2 linked regions of the Arabidopsis thaliana genome follow. The protein of the gene in region 2 interacts with the protein of the main gene of each other region in a pairwise test. Each region holds a gene or a part of one and is shown on either strand. Other genes may lie near its edges.

Region 1 (4,194 bases), on a different chromosome or scaffold from region 2:
TTAAACTCTAAAGTAATTTTGTCAATTCAGTTCATAGAAAATGCATAACTCTATAAGCCCATTGTAAAAATGCTCAATTTCAAATTTTTGGGCCAAATATTACTCATTTCTGTAAAAGCTCCATCTAAAATTAGTCTAAACTAGGTCTAATATGTAGTGAAACGAAAGGTCCATAGGATATATTGGACAAAGATTAATACGAAGAGAATTAAAGCTAATGAAGTTTGGGGAAAGAGTAACACAGACCTGACACTTGTTCTATCCATGGGAGCTTGCCACGTCAATCTCATTGTCTTTGGACTCGTAGACAAACATAACTTTTTTTTTTGGTCCGTAGACAAACATAACATGGGTGGGTTATTACTTTTTTTTTTTTTTGGACAAAAAGGTGGGTTATTACTTATTAATTTCGATTAAGAGATTTTCATGGTTTCGTATTCGATTTTATTTTTCTTCTACCGAATCAGAACGGGTACTTCTTTTTGGGTTCAGAAACAAATTCATGTTTGATTTGGCTGGGGTATTATTAGTGGTATCAAAGCTATATAGAAAATGATTTTTTTTTTTCGGGTGGTGATCCATACCCTTACTATCCAACTAATTCTCTCAAAAAGTGTATACTTCGGCTCGCCGAATTTTTTAATGAACCTAAAATATAAAACAACTTCGATTGGTTAAGGGTATTTCCAATAGTGATCTTTATATTTTTCTCTATTTACAGAGGTGACTTTATTTTAGAAACATTGTGCTCTAATGGTTGTTGGGTATGTTTCTCATTGGGTCTTTTATAAAATAACTAAGCTTTAATTCCAACAATAGTTACCTCTAAAATAAAAGAAAAATAGAAATATCTACATTGTATCTCTATAAATAGAAATGTCTACAATTTATCTCTATTTTTCCTTTATTTTTTAAAAAACTCTATTTTAGAAGTGACCATTGGAGCACAATGCCTCTAAATATAATCATTTTTAAAATATAGAAAAATATAGAGGTAACCATTGGAAATGGTCTAAGTGAAAGTGATTTAGAAAGAAAATATTTTTTTTTATGCTAAGATATGGTGAAAATGCGAAATTGTTTAGATAAAAACATCATTTATGAAATGAGGAACATATAACATATCTGTTAGTCACAATTGAATAGTTTTCTCAATGATCTAAAACATAAAATAAATTAATCAGAAAAAGAATATGATGATGAGGAAATGTGATTATTTGTAAAATATATAAAATTTCATGACCCTGTTTTATTTTCTTTTTTTCAATTGTCCTTTGGCATTATAAGCCTCTCCATTCTGGGAACTTTGAAAAATCAATCACATCAGGCTCAGTTATCTTTTACTCAACCAATAAGTTGCTTTCCATTACCACTACCAATATTAATGTATAAAATAGATAAATATATACAGTTATATCTTTCATATTCATAATCACATGTTGTGACATTATTGTAATGACATAATACAAATATACACTTCTTTCTTCTTTTCAAAACCATATTTAACTCGAAATGAGGTCAAACTCAAATTATGATATGATATGGTGCTCATAAGTCATGGATCTAGTTTTTTATATACGTGTTTAAGTGGTTGTAGTGCATTAATCTATTTGATCGGATTTGAAGATAGATTAGAGATATATTATGTAAGCAAAACTATTAGAAAAGTTGAAAATATATAATTACAAAAAGGTAAAAACAAACAGAAAAGTTGGTAAAAATTAAAGCAAAGATCACACACACTTGAAAGCGATTTAAAGGGTCTATTGAATTGTTGTGATATTAAAGTGAGACCAAAACCATAGCTTATTGGTTACCTTTTCAAAACAAAGAATCTCTTTACCCACCAACTCCAGATTTAAGTATCATGCATTCATGCTAATTGGTAAATAATTCCTTCTGTAACATAAAAATGATTATCTTAGGAGAAAAAGTTTGACGTCACATAAGTCATAACTATAGATTTATCACTATCAAATTTTGGATTAAGTGACAAAAAGTCATTACATTAACATATTTTGATTTTGTTTTTTTTCTTTCTAGAACAATTACATCTCTGTTTCTTCTACTACTGGACCCAACCATCATGATACTAGAAATGACCATTGAGAGACAAGAAGTTCACAATCTTTCTCTCTCTGTCTCAAAGCTATAAGACATTTGACATCCCAAAACCAAAAAACAAAGCATTCTATGCTATTCTGTTCTGTTCTCCAATGTTGTCATCAGCAAAGCATAATAAGATCAACAACCATAGTGCCTTTTCAATTTCCTCTTCATCATCATCATTATCAACATCATCCTCCCTAGGCCATAACAAATCTCAAGTCACCATGGAAGAAGTATGGAAAGAAATCAACCTTGGTTCACTTCACTACCATCGGCAACTAAACATTGGTCATGAACCAATGTTAAAGAACCAAAACCCTAATAACTCCATCTTTCAAGATTTCCTCAACATGCCTCTGAATCAACCACCACCACCACCACCACCACCTTCCTCTTCCACCATTGTCACTGCTCTCTATGGCTCTCTGCCTCTTCCGCCTCCTGCCACTGTCCTCAGCTTAAACTCCGGTGTTGGATTCGAGTTTCTTGATACCACAGAAAATCTTCTTGCTTCTAACCCTCGCTCCTTTGAGGAATCTGCAAAGTTTGGTTGTCTTGGTAAGAAAAGAGGCCAAGATTCTGATGATACTAGAGGAGACAGAAGGTATAAGCGTATGATCAAGAACAGAGAATCTGCTGCTCGTTCAAGGGCTAGGAAGCAGGAATGTGTCTCTCCTCACTCTTCTACTTTCTAATTCCTCTAAATCAACAGAATCTCGTATTAAATCAACAATTCCTCTGTACTAAAATTGGTCCATGGATCTTTCAGGCATATACAAACGAACTTGAGCTTGAAATTGCTCACTTGCAGACAGAGAATGCAAGACTCAAGATACAACAAGAGCAGGTAAAACTAACACTGACTTCTTGCTTTAATGCCTTAGTCTAATTTTGTCTTGAGAAACTTGTGCATTACTTCTTGCAGTAACTTTTTCTTGTGAATGTAAGATTCTGCTACTTAAGGCCAATATTTTTATTTTTCTGTTTTTTGGAAAATACAGCTGAAAATAGCCGAAGCAACTCAAAACCAAGTAAAGAAAACACTACAACGGTCTTCCACAGCTCCATTTTGAGAAAAATCTACTATTTCTTTTTGGGGGAGTTTCAAGTGTTTCTTATGAAGATGAGAAAAACAGAAAAAGTTTGTACATTTTAGCTAAGTTAAATTTGTGGTGGTAAGTAATGTAAAAGAAAAGTGTGTGTAGAAGAAAAGTGTCTAGAAAAAGAAAGCAACTAACTTTCTTCTTCTTCTCTGGTTTCCTATCAACTCTTTTGACTTTTGTACTTTTTTTCTTCTCTACTTAACCTCTATTATTGTAATGCCAAGTCAAGTCCTTATCTAGCTAGTACATGAGTTTCTGTTTTCACTGGTTAAGCCATTACTGCACTGTATTGTCAGATGATATAAGTCTTCATAATGATGCTAAGAAGATTTTTTCTTGGTTGACTTCTTTTTGTGTATGCTTTATTAGCAACCAGAAACAACAGAGAAACAGAATAAATACCTAAGAGCAAATTTGGTAGCATCTAATGTTTTAATAAAAGTTGGGCCATGAATATGCTCACATTATAAAGTTGGCTTTATTAGTAACCAGAAACAACAGAGAAACAAAATAAACACCTAAGAGCAAATTTGGTAACATCTAATGTATAAATAAAAGTTGGGCAATGAATTTGCTGACTTCCTTCTTGTAGCAACTTTAAAGATGCTACAAATGCTTGCTTCATTCTGATCCAATAATATTTGTTCTTCTGATGCATCCACCTTCTTCCTCAAACATTTGGAACCAATCTAAAGGAATAATTAACAACAATATGATAGAGATGACATGTTATTCAGTGTAAATTTCTTAACTTTATTTAGCAGGCAGCACATAAAAAATGGGAAAGAATCAGCTAATCTTGATCCTCTATTTGACGAAAATAAAATCTTCAAAATACCAAAAGCTATGAACAAAATATTCAATCTGCAAAACTAACGTGAAAAACTCTTTTTTTTTTTCTTTGGTCACAACATGAAACCTTATTTTTCTGCACTGAAAATTTCATATTATAACTTACAAATTCAACCACAAATGTTTGTTT
Region 2 (5,809 bases):
CGAATCAAACCATTTTAACCCAATTACTGTAAATTACTCCATTATAATTATATAACGTAAATAATTGAACCTTACATAGAATGTATACCAAATCAACAAGTGAATACATAATCTCCACCTTCACACTTCAGTCAACTTCTAATGGCCTTTCAGTACATGAATAAATTGTTGGGAGAAGAGGTCATACTTGCTTGAATTGGGTGGAAGTAGTTTTCTAGTGAAGACCAGCCTCTTGGCATAACGTCGGAAAGTAGAAAAATCCTCAGAAACTTAAACACAATCAACAAAGTAGAGTATGAGACCATCTACATCGGTTGATTCTCAAAAAAGAGTTTCTCATGAATAAAATATTGCTTATTTTAATTGAATTTAGATAAAGTATTAAATTTTAATAAAAAGAATAAAATCAATCATTTCTGGAAAAACACGTGGCCATAAACATTTTTCAGAGTTTCTGAAAACAGAGACGATTCTCACTTCTCTCTTCTTTTCACCACTTTGTATTATTTTAATAATAAATATCTCTTTTAAATACTGTTGATGGAAGTGTCCTGATAGGTTTAAAACTTTTTAGTTATTTTTAATAAAAAGTGACTAAATTTTTTATTTTAGTTAAAGAAAAGTGGTTGAGATCTCTTTTAAAAACAATCTATCTATCATATCGAAATGACAAATTAGATAATCGTATTATCAAAAGCTAGATCTAACTAGGAATTGCAAGAGCATATTTTGCAGCCCCATTTCAATCTACTACATGTTGCAAATAGACAAATAGATAATCATATAGATAAAACTCATCAAGGAGATTGACTTATTGTTAACGAAACCAAACCCATGACATAATTTAGTAATGATGTAAGTGTTTTTGTACATGAAACAGTTTGCCACAAGCAACAACTGGACTTATGCCACTGAAATCAACGAAATTAGAAACCATATTAAAACCTAATCCATAGTGCCACGAACACAAGAAACCTACAACGCAGTCGATAAACACTTGCTAGAATTACGTTTCTTAAAGTTGTGCATTAGCCTTACTTCATCTATTGGGCCTTAAAATCATAAAGCCCATTACGAGAATGCAATCGTAAATGTTTTTTTTTCTTTCTTACTCAACATCTATATGATATATCCGTTATCTGTTGGGGTAGCTTAAGCAAAGTCACAACTCACAAATCTATCCATCATTCAATGTAACAAATCTATTGCTTTTTTAGTTAAGAAGAGAATTTATTTAGTTTGCATCTCCTATTATTTTAACAAAACTAATAATTTTTTGCAAATTTTAAAATTATATCTCAACTTTATACATATAATCAAAATGTGATTTCACATAGCCACATTCGGAAAGTATAAACCAACCATTCTACAAACAACCAACAAGTCAATGTTTAATTACGTTTTTCAGGTTAATTCAGAAGTTGTTCCAAATCGAATCTTTCCGTAAAAGGCAAAAACATATCTAGACAATCCAACAAGATAACTAAGTCATATTCAGATTCGTTATATAACTTATATAGCTTTCTACTGACCGTTAGTTGCAATTATAGTTTATCTAATATTAAACTAACTTTCTTTTTTGTAACTAAATACTCTCGGGTAAAAAAAGTCCTAACAATCTCATTTTTTGATAACTGGATACTTTAAGATAAAATCCAAACTAATCTCCAGCTCTTATAAAGATCCACTAGAGAATTATAGTAAACATTCTTGAGTACAAGTTGTTTTCGTATTCTCTTGATTCTTTAAAAAAAGCATATCCAATAAACAAATGATGTTCTCGTAGAATCGGCAAATTGCAAAAAGATGAAAAAATAAGAAATAGACGCAATTCTGTGACAACTAAAATATCCTTTTCACATATAGCGACGTCTCAGTCACTAAAGAACCGATAGAATTGGAATTTGTAGGTCCCACATTTATTAATATACCTCTTAAATTAACCAAAAATAATTCAATAAGTAAACTATTACTTAAATAATAAAAAAATAAGAGCCATCGTGACTTCGAGAGAAGAAGCCAGCAAGGAACGATGGAGATTATTACGGCATCATCATCATCATCATCATCATTGTAATTCGTAATCATATCTTCTTTTGGAATTTCTTCACGGATAAGAAAAAAGGATATCGACAATTTCGCTTTTGCTTTCAAAATCTCATTCTATCACTTTGTGCCTTTTTTAGCCATCGCGAAAAACCTCTGAATCGCATCCCTTGATTTTCTGGGTTTGTGACTTTGTGTAGTGGAAATTAGGCTTGTTGTTTGATTTCGCTACGAGAAAATGGACAAGTACGAGCTTGTTAAAGACATCGGTGCTGGGAATTTTGGAGTGGCGAGGCTCATGAGAGTCAAAAACTCCAAGGAACTCGTTGCTATGAAGTACATCGAGCGTGGACCTAAGGTTCTTCTTCTAACTCTCAAATTACTTCCTTTTACGTGTGCAATTTTGCAAGTTGGAGTGTTCTTCTGCTTCGTTTATCTGGGATTCTTACTTTTGTGAGCATAGTACTGGTTCATTGTCTTATAAGATCAAAGATTGAGTATGTGATTTTCAATCCTTTTTTTTCTGGTTTTGTTTTGGTGAATAGATTGATGAGAACGTGGCGAGAGAGATTATTAACCACAGATCACTTCGTCATCCCAATATTATCCGGTTTAAGGAGGTAACTGCATTTTTTCCATGGCTTCATGGTGTCATGTTTAAACCGATGGTGATTAGTCTCAGCGGAAGTTGGTATCCTAAGTTCACTGTTGTGGCATTTCCAGGTGGTTTTGACACCAACGCACATCGCCATTGCTATGGAATATGCTGCTGGCGGTGAGCTATTTGAGCGTATATGTAGCGCTGGAAGATTCAGTGAGGATGAGGTGAGCTTCCCCTGGCATTTAAAGATTTTAAGTCATGGTGGTGTACTAAATGATCAATTTCAGAGTTGTATTGTGGTCTGAGATTAATTGAGTGGAAAGGAAAGCGGAAATCTTGTAGAATTATATTTGTGTTTTGTAGTACAGGAAGCAAAAGGAATATGTGTTGTAAATCATTTGGAGCAGCTTCTCCGATTATGATAGCTTTTTGTGCACATCTTTGTTTTCAGGCAAGATACTTTTTCCAGCAGCTTATCTCAGGAGTCAGCTATTGTCATGCTATGGTAAGAGAAAGAAATGGGTTACGAAGTTTTTTTAACTTCACAGATATACATAATTTCTGCGGTATCAGTCCTTTACTTGCATTAGTTCCTTATTGTCACAGCAAATATGCCACAGAGATCTGAAGCTTGAAAATACCCTCTTAGATGGAAGTCCTGCTCCACGCCTGAAGATCTGTGATTTTGGTTATTCCAAGGTCTGCCATATATCTCCAGCATGCACTTGAATGTGCTAGTGATTTCTTAATTTATCCTGTTGTAACAAGCTCCTCTTTCTTCTTTTTCCCTCCATTTGCGAGGCCCCTTGTCACTTCCATGTGAGCTATTTTTCTTCTTTTGTAGTCCTCACTGTTGCACTCTATGCCCAAATCAACTGTTGGAACTCCAGCATATATTGCACCTGAGGTTCTTTCTCGCGGAGAGTATGATGGCAAGGTAATCTTATTGGTTTGCAAGTATTAGTATATCAAGTATGCTTAGCATCTTGATAGAGACATCATAGTTTGAAAAAATTTCCTGCGTAGTAATGTAGCTCTTTCAACTTTTTCTCATGCATAATATGTTTATACATCAAGAAGGTATCGCCCATATTGGCAGATATCTGCTGTGGCCTTGATAGATTTGGGCAGTAAACATGTCTTTTTAATTATCCAGGACCAGAATGTGTTATTTTTCCATTTTTTATCATTTAATCGCCATTCCTTTTTTGCATTTCTCGACTCTTTAAGTGCGTTTGTTCATTGATAATTATAAGCTTTCTAGCCTTGAGCCATGCATAAAGAATTTTTTAGAAACGCAATGGATCCCAAATACTTATCTTGACCCATATGCTCTATGAAATTGTTATGATCTTATTGTTTGGATTTGGAAACATCAACTTCACAGAAATCATCAGAGTTTTGGTACTTATATTCTTCCTTCTCACTCAGATGGCTGATGTATGGTCTTGTGGTGTGACTCTTTATGTCATGCTGGTGGGAGCATACCCATTTGAAGACCAAGAGGATCCCAAAAACTTCAAAAAAACAATACAAGTAGGTTTCTTTGTTTTTGCATTCTTTGCTTAAGAGTTGACACGACACCACCACTGATCGTTGTGCCACATTGTTACAGAGAATAATGGCTGTCAAGTACAAGATCCCGGACTATGTCCATATCTCACAAGATTGCAAACATCTCCTCTCCCGTATATTTGTCACCAACTCGAATAAGGTATCATCACTCTGTCGAAAAGCTTGTCCATCCTTTTTGAGATAATTACTTGTATAACTTATCATTTTTCTTGTCAGAGGATTACGATAGGTGACATCAAGAAACATCCATGGTTCCTAAAGAACCTGCCAAGGGAACTTACAGAAATAGCTCAAGCTGCATACTTCAGGAAAGAGAACCCGACATTCTCACTCCAAAGCGTCGAAGAGATAATGAAGATTGTGGAAGAGGCAAAAACTCCAGCTCGTGTTTCTCGGTCGATTGGAGCATTTGGGTGGGGAGGAGGAGAAGATGCCGAGGGCAAGGAGGAAGATGCAGAGGAAGAAGTTGAGGAAGTAGAAGAAGAAGAAGACGAAGAAGATGAGTATGATAAGACGGTGAAGCAAGTGCATGCTAGCATGGGAGAAGTCCGAGTCAGTTAAAAAAAAAGATTGATTTTCTTTTCACGAAAGTATTCTAAAACCAAAAAAAAAAGAAAAAAAAGTTTTCGTTGGTCTGTCGAATTTGTCTCTTGCTCTGTGTTGAGTTCTTATTTTCTTTTCTTGGTCATAATTTTTAAGGTTAGTCTCATAAATGCTTTGGAATTTTGCTTCTGAAAATCTTGTAAAATCTGCAGTAGAAGAAAGAACAAACTGGTTTGATGATAAGTTCGGTTTGGGCGAATAAAATATTTTGTATATTATATGGTCTATTTTGCAAATTACCTCAGATTTCACCTTGTTTATTTTGCTAATTAATTTTCATATACAAACAGAGCTTAAAAATTACAATTTACAACATTTTTATACTTGTGAAATTGAAATCTCGTGTAATACTATTTTGTCATGTTATAATTTTTCAAAAATTTATCGTTGCTGTTTTTAAAATATGGATTTAAAACCGATACATGGAATTATTTTCCTTTGAAATCAAAATATATTTGTTTTTGATGTCTGTGAAAGTGAGGGAGAGAGAGAGTGAACCTTTTTAACTATCCCGCCATACGAAAATCGCAGAAAGCTGTAATTGGAGACGCGCTCTTTCTTCTCTCTCGCCTCGTGATCTTACCGGAAAAGTTTCGTCGCCGGAGTTTCACTATTTCGCCGCAGAAGCACTAGAGTTTCATCTGTTTGAAAATGTAATCTCGATCTTCCCGTTTCCCAGTCATTTCTAGGGGTTTTTGTTCGCTTTTTCTCACACCGATTCATTTGCGAATAATTTTTGAGTGTATTGTTCGGTGTTCGTCTGTGTGTAAAGAGGAATTTTCGTTAGTTATAGCAGAATCGCTTCATCTTCTAGTTGGAGAACTTATTAGCTTCTGGATTTGGTTAGTTCTTCGTTTTCCTATGCATAGATTTTGAAATTAATCGTCAAATTCGTTGTGGTGTATTGTAATTGTCATAGCGATCATGATTACAGCTCAAAATCGGCACAATTGTATCTTCCAGCTGGTACAGTATGCAATTTCT

The links.
Region 1: the proteins of SNRK2.10 (region 2) and BZIP27 interact in a two-hybrid assay, tested with the Arabidopsis thaliana proteins (one large-scale study listed by BioGRID).

The regions. Positions count from the first base shown.
Region 1 is NC_003071.7:7,720,770-7,724,963, forward strand, and holds BZIP27 (basic region/leucine zipper motif 27), read left to right. Parts: upstream 1-2,055; 5' UTR 2,056-2,216; coding exon 2,217-2,804; 3' UTR 2,805-2,878; coding exon of another isoform or gene 2,879-2,956; intron 2,957-3,110; coding exon of another isoform or gene 3,111-3,182; 3' UTR 3,183-3,522; downstream 3,523-4,194. UniProt on the Arabidopsis thaliana protein: Transcription factor required for the transition to flowering promoted by FT.
Region 2 is NC_003070.9:22,438,372-22,444,180, reverse strand, and holds SNRK2.10 (SNF1-related protein kinase 2.10), read left to right. Parts: upstream 1-1,959; 5' UTR 1,960-2,073; exon of another isoform or gene 2,074-2,246; 5' UTR 2,247-2,284; coding exon 2,285-2,404; intron 2,405-2,591; coding exon 2,592-2,666; intron 2,667-2,769; coding exon 2,770-2,871; intron 2,872-3,098; coding exon 3,099-3,152; intron 3,153-3,253; coding exon 3,254-3,346; intron 3,347-3,491; coding exon 3,492-3,584; intron 3,585-4,078; coding exon 4,079-4,183; intron 4,184-4,262; coding exon 4,263-4,361; intron 4,362-4,438; coding exon 4,439-4,783; 3' UTR 4,784-5,118; downstream 5,119-5,809.